4 linked regions of the Canis lupus familiaris genome follow. The main gene of each other region encodes a partner of the protein of the gene in region 2 in a complex. Links are inferred from orthologs where the notes say so. Each region holds a gene or a part of one and is shown on either strand. Other genes may lie near its edges. The genes, in order: OGT, KANSL3, PHF20 and KANSL2.

The links.
Region 1: KANSL3 (region 2) and OGT share a complex: the UniProt entries of both Homo sapiens proteins name them as parts of the NSL complex. The link is inferred for Canis lupus familiaris from reciprocal best matches to the Homo sapiens genes KANSL3 and OGT.
Region 3: KANSL3 (region 2) and PHF20 share a complex: the UniProt entries of both Homo sapiens proteins name them as parts of the NSL complex. The link is inferred for Canis lupus familiaris from reciprocal best matches to the Homo sapiens genes KANSL3 and PHF20.
Region 4: KANSL3 (region 2) and KANSL2 share a complex: the UniProt entries of both Homo sapiens proteins name them as parts of the NSL complex. The link is inferred for Canis lupus familiaris from reciprocal best matches to the Homo sapiens genes KANSL3 and KANSL2.

Annotation. Positions count from the first base shown.
Region 1 is NC_049260.1:56,041,133-56,045,116, reverse strand, and holds part of OGT (UDP-N-acetylglucosamine--peptide N-acetylglucosaminyltransferase 110 kDa subunit), read right to left. Parts: intron 3,528-3,984; coding exon 3,402-3,527; intron 2,810-3,401; coding exon 2,639-2,809; intron 2,534-2,638; coding exon 2,417-2,533; intron 2,325-2,416; coding exon 2,154-2,324; intron 102-2,153; coding exon 1-101. UniProt on the Homo sapiens protein: Catalyzes the transfer of a single N-acetylglucosamine from UDP-GlcNAc to a serine or threonine residue in cytoplasmic and nuclear proteins resulting in their modification with a beta-linked N-acetylglucosamine (O-GlcNAc).
Region 2 is NC_049231.1:46,372,400-46,376,955, reverse strand, and holds the start of KANSL3 (KAT8 regulatory NSL complex subunit 3), read right to left. Parts: upstream 3,022-4,556; 5' UTR 2,888-3,021; intron 2,697-2,887; exon of another isoform or gene 2,527-2,696; intron 1,851-2,526; 5' UTR 1,801-1,850; coding exon 1,586-1,800; intron 1,568-1,585; exon of another isoform or gene 1,096-1,567; intron 1-1,095. UniProt on the Homo sapiens protein: Non-catalytic component of the NSL histone acetyltransferase complex, a multiprotein complex that mediates histone H4 acetylation at 'Lys-5'- and 'Lys-8' (H4K5ac and H4K8ac) at transcription start sites and promotes transcription initiation.
Region 3 is NC_049245.1:25,372,234-25,376,217, reverse strand, and holds part of PHF20 (PHD finger protein 20), read right to left. Parts: intron 3,458-3,984; coding exon 3,052-3,457; intron 1,090-3,051; coding exon 906-1,089; intron 1-905. UniProt on the Homo sapiens protein: Methyllysine-binding protein, component of the MOF histone acetyltransferase protein complex.
Region 4 is NC_049248.1:40,817,380-40,821,363, forward strand, and holds part of KANSL2 (KAT8 regulatory NSL complex subunit 2), read right to left. Parts: intron 3,816-3,984; coding exon 3,701-3,815; intron 1,120-3,700; coding exon 956-1,119; intron 535-955; coding exon 368-534; intron 1-367. UniProt on the Homo sapiens protein: Non-catalytic component of the NSL histone acetyltransferase complex, a multiprotein complex that mediates histone H4 acetylation at 'Lys-5'- and 'Lys-8' (H4K5ac and H4K8ac) at transcription start sites and promotes transcription initiation.

The sequences.
Region 1 (3,984 bases), on a different chromosome or scaffold from region 2:
TTACAGTACACAATGGCATCTTCTGGTAACCCATACTGAGAACGTGTGGTAACAATAATGGTACGAGGAACCTCCTCTCCAGTGGCAGCTTTATTGTTGATCTGGAACACAAAAAACAATAGGATGTTTATATTTAAAGTCAGCAGTATGTGGTATTTTTTAATTAATAAAGAATCCTTGGGGTGCCTGGGTGGCTCAGTCGTTTAGGTGTCTGGCTCCTGGCTTCAGCTCAGGTCATGATCTCAGAGTTGTGGGATCAAACCTGGCATCAAGCTCTGTGCTTAGGATTCTCTCTCTCCCTCTACCCTCCAACCCTGCTTGTGCATATATGTACACGAGCACATGCGCACATATGCTTTCTCTAATAAATAAGTCTTAAAAAAAGAATCCTTAAAATGCCAAATAGTATAACCACTAAAAGTCATGTCATTTGAACTGTGAGAAAATATTCATGACATATTAAGTTCAAGAAAGGAAAAACGTTACGGTATTATCTTAATGGGGGCAAGCGGAAGACTTTACCTTGAAACTTATCACTCAAGCCAAAAAGTTCTTTTCAAAATCTTATTAATCTAACAGCAAGCTTTTGCTCACTTTTTTAATGAATGTCCTTTTCTAAATCACATCCATCCTTGAAAGTTAAATTATTCCTCCAAACCATCTTCACTGTGTCTCCTCACATTGATCACCACTATTTTTAAGTATCTATGTACACAATTATAGTCTTACCTTGCAATTCCCATACATCGAGGTACTGCCTTATATTGTTATCTAACTATTCCAGGTAGGTTTCATACATTTGGGCATCATGTTCTACACCCAAAGTTCTCTGTCCCTGTGTATTTCAAGAACTATATACTTTTTTTTCCTTAGGTCAAACACGCCTATTGTTTCAAATGACAGTTAATCAGAGATTAAGAAAAAATATGGCACTGTCTTTTTAGCCCAATAAACCTTGTAAATGATTATTAATTCCTTTATCTTAACAGGAACTTGCCTGAGAGAAAAAGAGTTCATTTTAAGCATCCATGGTATAAACTGTTATACCACTAAAACTGTTAACTCCTAAGAGAGAGATCCTTGCCTTATAATCTCTTGACAGAGATACATATTCACTTATTCCAATATGCAACATGTTTATTGAACACATACAACATTACTGTGGCTAAGGTATGGGCCCTAAAGTAATTCAATTCAGGGAAGAATACACAAACATAGGGAATTATAACATGCTGTGCTGGATGTAAAAATGCATTTCAAATATTACAAAAGCAGAGAAGACAGGTGCCAATGGAACAGGGAAGGCAAGATTACTAATAGAGACAGGAATAGATCCTGGAGGAGCTGTATGAACTGAAAGTCTTCAAAGGGAGTAAGATTTAACTAAGGGAAAGAATTGAGTTACAGAAGCAAGAAACTGTACGAGGTCTACAGATAATTCACCGCTGATAAGAGGAAAGCTACAGGCAGGAAGTAACATATTATTAACACAGTAGACCCTCATTAAGTGATCTAATGACTGAATCCAAGAGCCTTTTAAAATAAAAGGCTAGGGCAGCTCTTGTGGCGCAGCGGTTTAGCGCCACCTGCAGCCCGGGGTGTGATCCTGGAGACCCGAGATTGGGTCCCACGTCAGGATCCCTGCATGGAGCCTGCTTCTCCCTCTGCCTGTGTCTCTGCCTCTCTCTCTCACTCTGAATAAATAAATAAATAATTTTTTTTTTAAAAAAAAAGAGCACTTCCAAGGAATTTCCAATACAATAAATTACTTATAAAAAATAAAGTAAAATAAAAAATAAAACACTAATAAAAAGCCTTTAAAAATAAAAGGCTTGTAAGATGTCAATTTCCACCACTCATTTCCTCAATATAAGACAGGGATAATGGTGCTTACATCTCCTAGAGTTATTAGATTTAAAGAAGATAAATGAGGGCAGCCCCAGGAGCTCAGAGGTTTAACGCCACCTTCAGCCCAGAGTGTGATCGTGGATATCCAGGATTGGGTCCCACATTGGGCTCCTTGCACGGAGCCTGCTTCTGCCTGTGTCTGTGCCCCCCTCTCTCTCTCTCTCTCATGAATGAATAAATAAAATCTTAAAAAAATAAGATAAATGAATACTTGGTGGTATTATGCTCTATTATTCTCTTCTCACCTGGGTAGTTGCTAGTCCATTGCTAATACTGAATCCATTAATTGTTATCTGAATTTGCCCCCTGTTAATCATCTCGATAACCGCTTCTGCAATAGTATTCATAGGAATAACGGGCATATTAAGAGCTGTATTACTGCTGTCTCCATTGTCTCCTCCGTCAGGACATTTCATCTTTAAGAAAAAAATGACAAGATGTATCATTAGGGAAAAGATCCCAAATGCAGATAACTTTATTTCAATGACGATATTGACCAGGTTCTGACCTTGACAATTTTCACATCCGGCAGACTATCAAGAAATGCTTTGAGGTCAATGCCATTCAGAACAATCCGATTATCATAAATGTGGCCATTGGACTTAAAATCGATGACAGCTTTTTTCTAATCAAAAAAAAGTTTGAGACTCTTTTAGGATGCATAGGGACAACAGCAAGGAAATAAACGACTACAGTTCTTTGCAATGTCCACATAGCACTGTTTTTCTACCTTCAAGTGAGGGAACATATTCGCATGATCACCAATAAAGAAAGTATGGGGCATATAAGCCAGTTTCTCAGAATACTGCTCAGCAACTTCAGCTGGTGAAGTTTCCTGATCAGTGATGATATAATCCATGAAAAGCGCACCACTGGTCCCAGGGTATCCCAGCCACATTGCCTAAAAGATTAAAAAAAAAAAAATCAGGCCAAAAGCTAAAAAGCCTCACCAAAAGAGTTCAAAATAATAAACAAACAAATAAGGAGGGTTGACTTCTTTAGCTAGGAGGAATCAAGTAGTATTTCAGCCTAACCTTCTCAGTGTTAAACGTTTTCCCAATTTAAAAAACCGAACTGTTCGTATTCAACTATGAATTGCATATCTCTATACAAATGTACCTGTGGGCACTGTGTTCTACATTAAAATTTCTTTGTCTTGGGACACCTGGGTGGCTCAGTGGTTGAGCATCTGCCTTTGGTCACAATCCCAGGGTCCTGGGATCTAGTCCCGCATCAGGCTCCCCGCAGGGAGCCTGCTTCTCCCTCTGCCTATGTCTCTGCCCCTCTCTATGTATCGCTCATGCATAAATAAAAATCTTTAAAAATAAAAAATAATAAAATTCATTGTCCCTGTGCATTTCAAGAACTATACTTTTATTAAGTCAAGCATATCTGCCCTATTGTTTTAAATGCCAAGCAACTGGAGGGTGGAAAAAAATCACCATCTTTATAGCTTAATAAACATTGTAAGCAATTACTATTAGTTCCTTTACCTGAATAGGAGCAGGCCTGAGAGCAAAGAGTTCATTTCGAGCACCCTTGGTATAACCATTCATATTGACAAGGATGTGTATACCATCCTGATGGATGCGATCAGCTGCTTTTCCATTGCATGGAATCTATGCAATAAAAAACAGAACTCACTATGTATAATCTCAAACTAATTCAATAAGTTTTAATGGCATTAAATAGAATTCAGAGTCACAGGTACAAAACATAGTAAGAAGACAAATTACATTTATGCAGTATAAAAATATGGTTAAGTCATGAGAGACTCCTGACTCTGTGAAACACAGGGTTGCAGAATGGGAGGTCAGTGGGGGGGTAGAATAACTGGGTGATAGGCATTAAGGAGGGCATATGATGTGATGAGCACTTAGTGTTACGCTATATGTTGGCAAATTGAATTTAAATTTAAAAAATGTGGGGATCCCTGGGTGGCTCAGCGGTTTAGCGCCTGTCTTTGGCCCAGGGCATGATCCTGGAGTCCCGGGATCGAATCCCACATCGGGCTCCTTGCACGGAGCCTCCTTTTCCCTCTGCTTCTCTCTCATGAATAAATAAAAATCAATCAAT
Region 2 (4,556 bases):
TCCTAGCAGGTCTTCTATGTCCACTCCTGAGCTATATCTACTCAACAAAAATTCAAAGTGATATAAATCCAATCTCTAGTTTAAAATCCTTTAATGACCTCTTACCACTCTTAGCATCAAATTCCTATATGAGGTAGCCTCCACCAACTTCCCTAGCTCCCACTAACACCCTCACTACAAACCATATTCCAGACAGAATGACCTAAAAAGTCCCTAGAACATGCTAATTCCCATTTTCAGGACCTATACATGGAGATGGTTTATAAGAGGTAATAATTTTCTAAGTACTGAAATGAGCAAGTCCTCGGAATCTCACTTTAAGAAAACATCACAAACATCACAAACATCCCAACACAGGAGTTTCAATGTTAGCAAGAAGCTATAAAGGAGCTCTTGCAGTTATGCCCCATGCCAGAGGCATCAAGATTATGCTAGATTATCCCTAAAAGTCACAGATTCCCCTACCCTGTTACAACTAAAACAGCCAACCAAATACTGCCCTCATTGGGAAATAAAGTAAAACCAACTATTCTATTCTCATTTAAAACACACACATCAGGGGCAGCCTGGGTGGCTAGGCAGTTTAGCGCAGTCTTCGGCCCGGGGCGTGATCCTGGGGACCCGGGATCAAGTCGCGTGTAGGGCTCCCTGCGTGGAGCCTGCTTCTCCCTCTGCCTGTGTCTCTGCCTCTCTGTTTCTCTGTGTCTCTCATGAATAAATAAATAAAATCTTAAACACACACACACACACACACACACACACACACATATCATGGTACCTCTAGCTCATTAAGGCTCAATGGGAGGTAAAAAGAAGCAAAATACAAGATTTCTATTCACCAACAAACCTAAAACTTGTCCTAGAGGAAACATTAGACATTCGATTAGATTAAAACAAACAAAGAAAAAATCTCTTCCCCCCAAAAAAAGTTAACAAATTAAGGGCATGATTTGATCATCAAAATAGTATATATCAACTGATCTTGAAATAAAATTAGAATACCTTAAAGCTCAAAAGAAGTGCTAAACAAGCTGATTTAGGCCAAATGTAATTGTATCACATATTACACAGTAAGTTTATGAAAAAAATCCTTACCCTATAATGTAAGCCAGTTGAAAATACAATCACACCTAGGAAGGGTTAGTATCAACCCATGGGTGACAAGCTGAAAGCAAGGTCTTGGAAAAGCTCCTAAACTTTGCTGGGTGAAGCCAGGAAAAAGAAATCGCATTCCCTTAAAAAAGTCATTGTTGCCAGTGTTGGAGCAAGCCAGAACACTGGACTAAAAGAAAGGAGTCTAATCATGAGCGGCGATTTTTAAAACTCAATTCTTCAGTCTTTTTCTTCGCCAGCTAAATAATCCTCTTTCCATACAAGTCCTATTTACTATGGGGATACGTTGTTTGCTTTCCCAACTTGTTAGAGGTCTTGAATGCAGATGTCTACATTAGAGGCGGGATACCTGAAGTGAACATCCAAGGCCCCCATACAATCGCCCACAATAAAATCCTCTCTAATCCCCACCATCTGGTGACTGTCCAGTTAGGGCAAGGGCAGCCCTGGGGACAGAGAAGCCCAAACTCACATGGTACTTTCGTGCTGCCTCCGGGGAGTAACAAAGAGCATGCGCGTGGGGCGGGCACTACTGGCATCTGGGTGGGCACTCCATGGCTTGGCATAGCTATGATCCAGAAAAACCAGGTCCAGCTCCCGCTCGTGCACTGAAAGCTGAAAGAGCAGCGAGGTGCCCATGCGCCGCGCTGAAGTCTGGAAGTCCCTCTCCCCACCGCGGTGGGCCATGTCAGTAGAGGGCCAGCAAGTCAGAGAATGGGTATCTGCATGCTAGTCACCTGCAGCGAAAAAGTTTCGGTTTAAGTCCATTCAAAGATCCTAAATCTCTTCCAACCTAGAGTATCGAATATGCATGCTTCTCACTTTTGTGACTTTCTATCATTCGGAACTGGGTAATCCACTACGCCGCAGACCCTTGCCCATCATAGGAAGGGCTCCCGAGATCCCACACCACTCCCCCCTCCCCCCCAAAAAAAAAACTATGGGCGCCATAGGATCCTCCATATTCACTCTACAAAATTCAGCGTTTACGGAGAGCCCGCTGGCTCCACTGTTCACAAAGGCCTCACATGGACACATGCTAAACTTGCTTGGCCAGCACCACAAACTCTTGGGCGGGCGGGCGGGCGGGCAGCAGGCAGGGCTTGGGCAAACCACGGGACTCACAGACACTAATTCCCCCAGGACGGAGGGTCTCCCCCGCTCCGCGGCTTCGGCCCACCCCGACACCTTCGTGGAGCCAGCTCCGCGCCCGAGGGAGCACCCCCCCTACAGCAGGGCCTGGGCCTCTTTCGTAGGTTAAAAGTTTTGCAACTACTTTGTAATAGTCTAGAGTCCCCAAAACACGCCAACGAGGGCTCCTGCCCCGGGCACGCAGCAAAACGCGAAGCCAGGAGGCGCCCTGCCCCCGCCCCGGTGGATCGTCCGCGGCAAACCGCCCGGCGCCCCACGTACCCCTCGGGGTCTCGCCGCCGAGCCTCCAAGCGCCCCATCTGGCGGGCGGGGCTTATAATTCGCACTTTACGGACGGAGGCGCCAGCTCGGGGCACAGAAGCGACTCGGCCAAGGTCACCGAGAGTTCGCGACGAGGAGGAGCCGCCTCGCACCCGCCTCCCGCCCGCGTCACGGGCCCGGGCCCGGCCGGGCGCCCGCCTCACGGCGGCCCGCCTCTGCCCCCGCCGCCCGGCCCCGGGCTCTAGCCCCCAGCCCCCGCATGCCCCGGGAGCCCTGAAGCCCTCGCCCACACTCCCGCTCGCCCGGGCCGGGCCGCGACCCGCCCGAGCCGCCACCCCGCCGGGGCCGGCCCTGCCCTCACCCGCAATCGCCGGGCCGCGCGCTCGGCCCGGGCCGAATCCCTGCGCGCGTGCGCGTTACCGCCTCCACGCCCGGCGCCCCGCAAAACGCGGAAGCGGATTCCCTCCCGAGAAGGGTGGTGAGCGGCAAAACCCGGAAAGGGAGTGAGCGCCTGCGGCCCCAGGGGCGGGAAGAGGAGCGCCCGGAGGCGCGCGGCTCTCGAGCGCAGAAGTCCGCCCTGAATGCAGAGTCGAAAAGGCTCCTGCTGCTGAGGCGTCTGAGGGGGCAGTGCCGCTCCAGGTAGAGATCAGGCTCAGGGGGTTGGAATCTCAGCTCCGACCCGAAACCCCTTGGCTTTACGACCCCAGCAAGATCTCAGCGTCGCCCTCACCCCTGAATGTGCAAATACTTCCCCCCCGGGGGAGGGGCGGGGGCTGGGAGAATGAACTGGGTAATGCCCTACCTGTCAGGCGCACAAAGAGATCTCAGGATGGTGATTACCATGAGGGCCCCCCAGGGTGTCCTACAACGAAGGGATTGGGGGGGTGTCTTGAAGGGAAGTCACCTAACGTTGGACTCTGAAGGACCAGGCCATTGCAGAGGGATTGGAAAGGTTAGTTGGGGCCTAGGTGGGGATGGCAAGTGGGCCAAGGACAGCCCAACACCATGTTCTTTAGTATGCCCACTGCTTTCTCAAAACTTTATTTCATTGCAAATTTTTGTTTGTTTGTTTGTTTTTTGAGAGTAAGAGACCGTGCACACTAGTGAGTGAGTGGAGGAAGGGCAGAGGGAGAGGGAGAGAGAATTTCATTTTATTTTTTAAAGATTTTGTTTATTCATGAGAGACAGAGAAAGAGAGAGGCAGAGACATACGCAGAGGGAGGAGCAGGCTCCATGCAGGGAGCCCAACGTGGGACTCAATCCTGGGACTCCAGGATCACGCCCTGGGCCCAAGGCAGGTGCCAAACCACTGAGCCACCCAGGGATCCTTGGGAGAGAGAATTTTCAACAGACTCCTCTCTGGGCACAGAACCCAGGCTGGGCTTGATCTCAAGACTCTGAGAGCACGACCTGACCTGACATCAAGAGTTGGGTGCTTAACCAACTGAGCTACCCAGGCATTCCTGGTTGCAAACATTTTAAACTAAGGATATTTTATGTAAAAATCCAGATTTCTGGACTCTCTTAAAAAGTTGGAGGCTGTGGCAGCACAGGATTCACGTTCTAGCATGGCAGGCATGGGGGCTGCATATGCCCTCACTCTGGCCACCTTCACTAGGCATCCTTGGTCCCCTTGGCATTTGATTCATTACCCAGCTGTATACCACAAACATGCACACACACCACACCCCCAGGCTAAATTTAACTGGAGGTGATCCTGAGGTGGAGAAGGCAAAGTCAAGTCCAGTCATTTTAGAATATTAGTGGATTGGTTCAACTCATTTTGGTTGCCTCTCAGGGCAGGAGTGAGACAACTGAAATAACGCTGATGGAGGCAGGTGCAGAGACCAGCCCAAAGAAAGAGACCCAATGCTTCAGAGAGCCTGTGCAATGCAACACAGAGCCCTCTGGACCCAGAGGAAAGATGGAAGGTCAGAGAGTGGGGAGGCAATAGGGAGAAAGGAGACAGGGACACCTAGGTGGCTCAGTGGTTGAGCGTCTGCCTTCAGCTCAGGGCGTGATCCCGGGGT
Region 3 (3,984 bases), on a different chromosome or scaffold from region 2:
GCATCCTACAAGTAATTTTATATCCTCAATTAGAGTAGTGGTAGCCTGACTATACTCAGACTCCTCAAATGGAATATTTACTTTTCAATTTGGCTCCATTTTAAGAATGAAAACAACAAATAAGAAATAAGTGAACAATCAAGGAATTCTGTCTTCAAAAACCAAGCTGGAAAAAAAAAAAAAAAAAAAAAAAAAAAAAAAAAAACCAAGCTGGAGTCGGGATGCCTAGGTGGCTCAGTGGTTGAGCATCTGCCTTTTGCTCAGGGTGTGATCCTGGGGTCCTGGGATCAAGTCCCACATCGGGCTCTCCGCAGGGGGCCTGCTTCTCCCTCTGCCTATGTCTCTGCCTTTCTCTCATGAATAAATAAAATCTTTTAAAAACAAACAAACAAACAAAAAAAAAAAACAAAGAAAAAAAAAAACAAGCTGGCAACTTCCTAGGGATCAAAAAAGACTAAACTTGAGCATGATCATCAGGCCCATCTACTACCTCTAACACCTGGGAGAAATACCCAGGGTTACCCAAATGATTCAGTCAAGTTCTTAAACCTCTACTGATAAAGAAGAGAAGGCTTCAGTTTAGATTTGATGAAAGGCCAAAATAAAAGGTTTCTTCAGATTAATCCTCAAAGACATCCAAAACAATATTAAGTCCAAGCTGAAATTCCCCATGGAACTCCACCGGCAAAGATTTGCTCAGGTTGCACACAGCCTGTAGGCAGAGTCTAGTTACACTTTTGCACTCTGTTTTGCAGAAGGCACTAGGTAAGTTAAGGACTCCTGACATTACACAGACCTTAGGTGCCTGAGGGGGCGGATGTGGGTGGAGGAGGCTGGAAAAAAAAAAAAAAAAAAAAAGAGGCAAGAATGCAGCATCTGTGGGAGAGCCAGAGATGCAGCCCTACCATCCAGCTCCTTCTCAATGGAGTCCATCCGATGCGTGACTTCGTCCTGAAGGGATTCCACATGGGTCAGCAGGTTAAACTGCCACTGATGCTGGGAGCTCAGCAGCCCCTCTCCGCCTCTGTCCAGCAGCTTCCGAGTAGGGGCTTCCTCGGGTAGGACCTTTTTGGAGACATATTCTCTCACCTAGGAATGGAATGGTATTTAAATTACTGTGTGGAGACTGCTCCCAGCCCATTCTCCAACTAGCCAGTGTTTGCAATCATCTGAAAAACCAGCTGCAGTCTGAATATTCCAAACCTCTATCTATCTCCCTCTCCTGTCTTGGACACCAGGCAGAAGTATGCCTGGGGCAGCAATCACAAACACCTTAGGGCATCAAGAGGCCTCACAACTGCTTCCTAGTGACTGGCCCAATGCTCCAGACCCAAAATAGGCCTCACAGAATGGCTTCTAGAGCCCTGAGATCAGAGTAGAACAGGATGGGTGCAGACAGGAATTAGTATGTTACTTAGCAGGACTCAGACAAACTAGTTTTAAGTCCTAGCTTCTTGTCTTGCTGAATGTGTGAGCCTAGATTAGTTACTTTTCCTCTCTGAGCCTCTGTTCTCTTATGGGAAAGATGCAAGTAGTGAAACCCAATTTTTAGGTTCATGAGAATGAAATATATAAGGTTTATAAAACACCATGCTGGCCTATGGTCAGCTTGCCATGAATGAAAGATATTTTTAATCCTAGCTGCCTTGTTTAGGCCTCGTATTTTCTGACTTTTTATTACGTGGCAGATGTCTTTAGGAAATCTGCCTAGTTTTACGATCACAAATGGTTTCTACCGTTTGTGATCTCAACCTTTCATTCATTCATTCGAAATGAAAAAGTTGAGCTAATATTTATTAGAGCTGACTGTGCAAAGCTCTGTACTGACGGTTTTTCGCAGACACACTGCACAGTAACTAGAGGGATGGGCACTGGCCCCTCCCACAGATAGGTGAAGAGACACATCTAAGGATGCTGACCTGCTCAGCATCACACAGTAAATGGCTAAGCCCAGACATGACACTGGGTCTGTCTCCAAAGACCAACCTCACCAACCATGACCAGCACTGGCAAGGGGACAGGCTGAAAGAGGTACAGTGCCCACCCGTGAGTGGCTTATCATTTAGGATGTCCCACTTGGCAACATGCAGTAACATATCTAAATGCTGATGATGCCAGCCACAGGGTAAAATTTAAAAGAAAATTTAAAAGGAAGGATGATGATGGTGGAGAAGCTCTCCACTTACACAAAGCCTCACTGACCAACTGAGGACAGGACAGAAGGGCATAAGTGAACAGTTAAAGATGACAATATTGGCAGGAAAATGACACAAAGAGGCTCTAGAAGAGCATGGTTCGAGTAACAAAAAACTGAGTTTTTCTTGGGCAAGCTGATGAAACCATTAAATATTCTGACGAAATGGACTGTTTTTATGTCAGGGCTACAAAGTTAAAAGCCAAAGTAAAGCTATCATACAATTGTACTGAAAAACTTATGCCTAACAAAACATTTTACTCATTCTTTGCTCATGCTAAGACTTAGCAGCTAGGTGCAATTACAACATAAACGCCATTAAAGAAAAAAAACAATTTTCCTACCTAACTTCCATTTATCAAGTGTCAACACTATCCTTCTCAATTCTTCCCACCTCTCCACCTCCCACCCCTAGTGACTATGTCATTTTGTGGGCATTTCCTGGAACCTGTGATCTCTGGTTTAATTGGGCTCTCCTGACTTTACAACCATTTTAACTGACCAGAAAACACCTATGATAAGCAAATTTATTTTTTTTATTTTTTTTTTTTTGATAAGCAAATTTAAATACAATTTTACAAAAAGCATCTTTCAGGGCAGCCCGGATGGCTCAGCAGTTTAGCGCTGCCTTCGGCCCAGGGCATAATCCTGAAGACCTGGGATCGAGTCCTGCATCAGGCTCCCTGCATGGAGTCTGCTTCTCCCTCTGCCTATGTCTCTGCCTCTCTTTCTCTCTGTGTCTCTGATGAATAAATAAAATCTTAAAAAAAAAAAAAAAGCATCTTCCACAGAACCCTACAAGTGGAGCTCAAGCACTCAAATACTAAATTAAGAACAAGTACAAGTGAGCCACATACCTTTAGGGAGCTAGATTTGGAGTCACTGTCCCCCCTACTCCTGTCTTGGTCTAGAGGCCAGCCCAGACGTGGAGAGAGAGAATCATCACCATTCTCATGGAGGGGGTTGACTGCATCGTCGAGGGCAGAGCCCCGAGTCTCCACCACCAGCTTCTGCTCCACAGCAGGGTAATAGGCACGGGGCTTCTGATAACAATGCTCGCTAGTAATATAGGACTCCTCCATAGACCGGGGTATGGGGAGGGGCAAGGGCTTCTCCACTGCCCCATTCAAAGTTCTATAGCTCAGGACTTCCTCTTTGCTCTTGGCTTCAGTGACGTGGATGTGTTTCGAATGAGATCTCCCCTCCCCTGAGTGCTGTTTCCAAGGCTGACACCACAGCTGCAGATCAGGATGCTCCCTGCTTCTGTTGGGAGGACAAACACAGAAAGGGCTTTGGAGTAACTGCGACCACTGCAGTGGCTTCTCAATTCCCACTCTCCCAATAGGAAGAAGAACTCCCCACTTGGGCCATCTGGCCACAAGCCACCATTTGCTAAGCAAAAGGGAATATAAATTCATGGTCTCTGAGGAGATCACGGGCAGGCAAGCTCCTGCTGTGAACACTCATGGTAAGATTAGACTTGGGAGTCAGAAGACTTGACTGCATTTCAGTTCAGCCACTGATCAGCAGTGCAGCTGTATTAAGTCACTCAGCCAGACTCATTCCCATTCCCTCCTCTGCAAAACTAGGCTAAGTATTTGTCTGCCTTTAGCCAACGACTTTGGTAAAGATTAAGTGCATTAATCCAAATAAAAGTAGTTTGTTAGCAAAGTACTCTTCAAATGTGAGTTACTAAAACTAACCAAATAAGCAGGCATGATAATCCTGGCATGCAATAACTTTCAGTTACATTCAGTAACCTGGATGCCTCAGTTGGTTAAGTCTGACTT
Region 4 (3,984 bases), on a different chromosome or scaffold from region 2:
ATCCTCTCATCTTCTAAAACAAGTTTCCCAAGCAACTTACGCTTTAACCAGTCCCTATTTCTGAACTGAAGAATTTCTGAACCAAAGAACTTAGAAATCTATGGCAACCTGTAAATTTACAGAGAACAGAGGCCCAAAGAAGTTAACAGTGCAGACACAGAACTGGTCAAAAGAGAACTAAAAAAAAAAAGAGAGAGAACTAAGACTACAATTCACGTCTCTGGACTTCCACGTAAGTGTTCTTTTCAATTTACCCCACGTGCAATTAAGTCAGATTTCCGATCCAAGACTGTACAATGTTTTGACTATTACTCTAACTTGTAAACAAAGCAAATATATACCCCTTACAGATATAAACACAAATTACCTGTTGGGCAGCACCATCTGTAGCCAGCATTCTGCGCTCCTTCAGCTGCCTATGTAATAAGGCTTCCACTCCATAGCGCTGACGATACCGCCGAAGACATTTTAGACGCTTTAAGTTCTCTCGTTCTTTGGCCAAAAGTCCCTCTGGGCCAGTCAGGAGACTACTACCTGGTGAGTCACAACAGTCAAGATTTACGTGCCAAGCAACCAATAAAGGATGGCTTCCCCAATTAACAAGAAATAAACAGAGAAAACTCTGGCCATAAGATAGCCACTTTCAAAAGCAAATTCTCCTTCACTCCAGGTACCAAGACAGAAATAAATCTAACTACTACCAAATACACATTTTGAAGCCACAACAGCTTGTTGGGACTAACATTAAAACTTGCCTAGATGGGATCCCTGGGTGGCTCAGTGGTTTAGTGCCTACCTTCAGCCTAGGGCGTGATCCTGGAGTTCCAGAATCGAGTCCCACATCGGACTCCCTGCACGGAGCCTGCTTCTCCCTCTGCCTGTGTTTCTGCCTCTCTCTCTCTCTGTGTCTCTCATGAATAAATAAATAAAATCTTTTTAAAAAAAGAACACTTGCCTAGAGCTTCATGTTCCACTTTGCGATTATGTAAGTAACGTCGCTTCTTCTCTTTGAGCAGATGCTGAAGTCGTTTAAACTGATCAATGTACAAAGACTGCAAACGAATTAGCTTTTCACGCATAATCAGGGCAACTTCTTCTGCTGTGTAGACACCAGCATGTCTGGAATAAAACAGAGTTAAGCAAAAACATAAGAAAACACAAAAATAAAACCACAGCTTAAACGCAGAAAAGGGTAGAGAAGAGATTTAAGTTTCTTATTTAACAGTAAGTCAGCACAGAGACCATCACCTTATTAAATAGGAATGTTTTTACATACAGCATTCAAGTTATTAAAAAACAAAAAAAAAGTTATTAAAAAACAAAATAATAAAATCCCCAAGTATGGATACTAATTTGTGATCTCACAACATGATGAAGGCAAGAGGTTTCATTATTTTCCCCAGTTACCTGCATTATGTTTAAGAAGTGAAGACATGGAACACTCAAAGTTTTTATTAATCTACAATCTTATCCCAGTTTCATAATTTAATTGTGAAGAAATTAAAGCTATCAGAACAGCTTAAAAGTATTCAACTTAGTAGCATTTATACCTTAACCTATTTTAGTTGAAGTACAAAAGACAGTGATTTCAGTTTCTAATTTAAAATACATTCTGGGACGCTTGAGTGGCTCAGGTCATGATCCTGGGATCATAGGATCAAGTCCCACATCAGACTCTCTGCAGGGAGCCTGCTTCTCCCTCTGCCTGTGTGTCTGCCTCTTTCTCTGTATCTCTCATGAATAAATGAATGAATGAATGAATGAATGAATAAAATCTTTAACAAATAAAAACAATTAAGTAAATGGTTACTTTGAGGAAAATCACATATACATACCTACAAGAGGGGAAAGAAACTACACTAATACTAATTCTAGTTAGGATAAAATCTAATGACATCATCATAAATAATACAAAAAGCACCCTTCTGAAACAAGCAAGTAAAGAAAACATACGCTGTTAAATTGTTAATGATTCAAAAAAAATGGTCCTAGTGACAAAACACTGGCACCAGAAATGAAATTAAAAGAATTTCATTAAATAAAGAAACTTTTATTAAATTTAAGACATCAGCAATATGGAAACATATTAACAAATTTAGTATCAGGGACGCCTGGGTGGTTCAGCGGTTGAGCATCTGCCTTTGGCTCAGGGCATGATCCCAGAGTCCTGGGATCAAGTCCCACATAGGGCTCCCTGCATGGAGCCTGCTTTTCCCTCTGCCTATGTCTGCCTCTCTCTCTCTCTCTCATGAATAAATAAAATCTTAAAAAAAAAAAAAAAAAAAAAAAACTTTAGTATTATAAGATATTTAACAACTCTACTGACATCCCTAAAAATGCAAATATTTTAGAAGGCCAAAATTTTTTTTGGATCTCATAGGGGAATTAAGGAAAGCCTTATATTTAGTTGCCTATTTTATTTTCCCCTTTGAATGTTCCTTTTAGGAGACACTGACATCAAGTATCTAGTCCTTTTAACATTTATACATCTCATAAAATTAACTGGTATTTTTAAGTTACACTAGCATAAATGTGTCCCCCAGAGACTGATCCACTGTAGATTACTACTGACAAAAATCAAGTTTCTGGACCTTCAAAGCTGAGTATTTACCACACCAAAGGACAGTCACTTTGTGACCCTACAGAGCATACACCTCTTCAAAGCAGCAAGTCTGGCTTTTTTTTTTTTCTTTCAGAACCACAATGGGAGAGGAAAAAAAAAAGAATGTCTGGTATAAAATTACTGCTGAGAAAGAATCCTGCCAGTTAATGAACTTTCAAACTACTTAGATGAAACTTTCCAAACAAGATTGTTTGAACTGACACTCATTGTTTGAACTGAGTAACTGACATTACTCAAGAAAAACAGATGAAATTATTCTACTTAGCAAATGTAAACCTAAACGATTTTGTAAAAAGACTAGAAATTCATTACCTATTTACTATACTTGTATGCTGTCAATGCGAAATGTTTCTCAAAAGACAGTAGTCAAAAAGAATGAAGAAAACAAAAAAAGAAAAAACTAAACTAAACCCAAACCATGAGACAGAAATAGAAGGCAGTGAGTAGCAACGGTTTTTTTTTTTTTTCTACAACTCTTAAGGTGATCATGAACTAAGTGAAGAGCAGAATCTTAGTTAAGATATAATTAGACTGATTAGTCACTTCTAGGTTTCTAAATCAGTTTCTCTTTCTTAGGCATGAAACCAAGGAAACTCTTGAACATCTTTTTTTTTCCTACTAGAAAAAAAAAACCCTCATAAAATGTAACTTTGCAAAAAAAAAAAAAAAAAAGTAGTTATTCAAATACAATCACATTATTGTTCCTGAGGCTTAAGCCAGGAATCCATTTATATCAATTTCCTCTTCTCCAACGGATTTAAGCATTTCTCAACCAACCTCCCATTATGTCCAAGACAGTTCCTATTTTCTCCCCTAGGCTTTTTCATGTGTAGAATTTGATATCCAAAAATTTTTCCAAATTACAAGACTTCCAAAACAGAATAAAATCTTGCCCTGCAGCAAGATGGTGGTGAACCAGGACAGGACACTTTAAAATACAGAAGCTATTACTGCTCACAAAATAGCTAAACTCTCTTCACCCCTCCTAGGTTATTAATCTATTAATTGCATGCATTACTACAGTCCACATTCTAACTACAAAAAAATTTTAAAGCCTTATGTGGAGTTACAACTTACTTTAGGGGATCTTCTTGATCACTGTCTATGCTATCAGCTTCACTGTCAGGGTCACCTCTCCATGTCTGATCCACAGTAATGGGTTCCTGCTCCCCATCACTCCAGCTGTCTTCATCTGAGGCAAGGAAGGGAGAGCAGCCATTAAGACTTCCCACCTCCGTAACTCCACCACACAAAACTAGATTACTTAACACATCAACCCAAACCTTAACGTTTAAGAAAACAAACAAAAAAAGCCCCAACAACTTAGTACAAAGGCACTGACAAATAAAATTGGCTTGAAA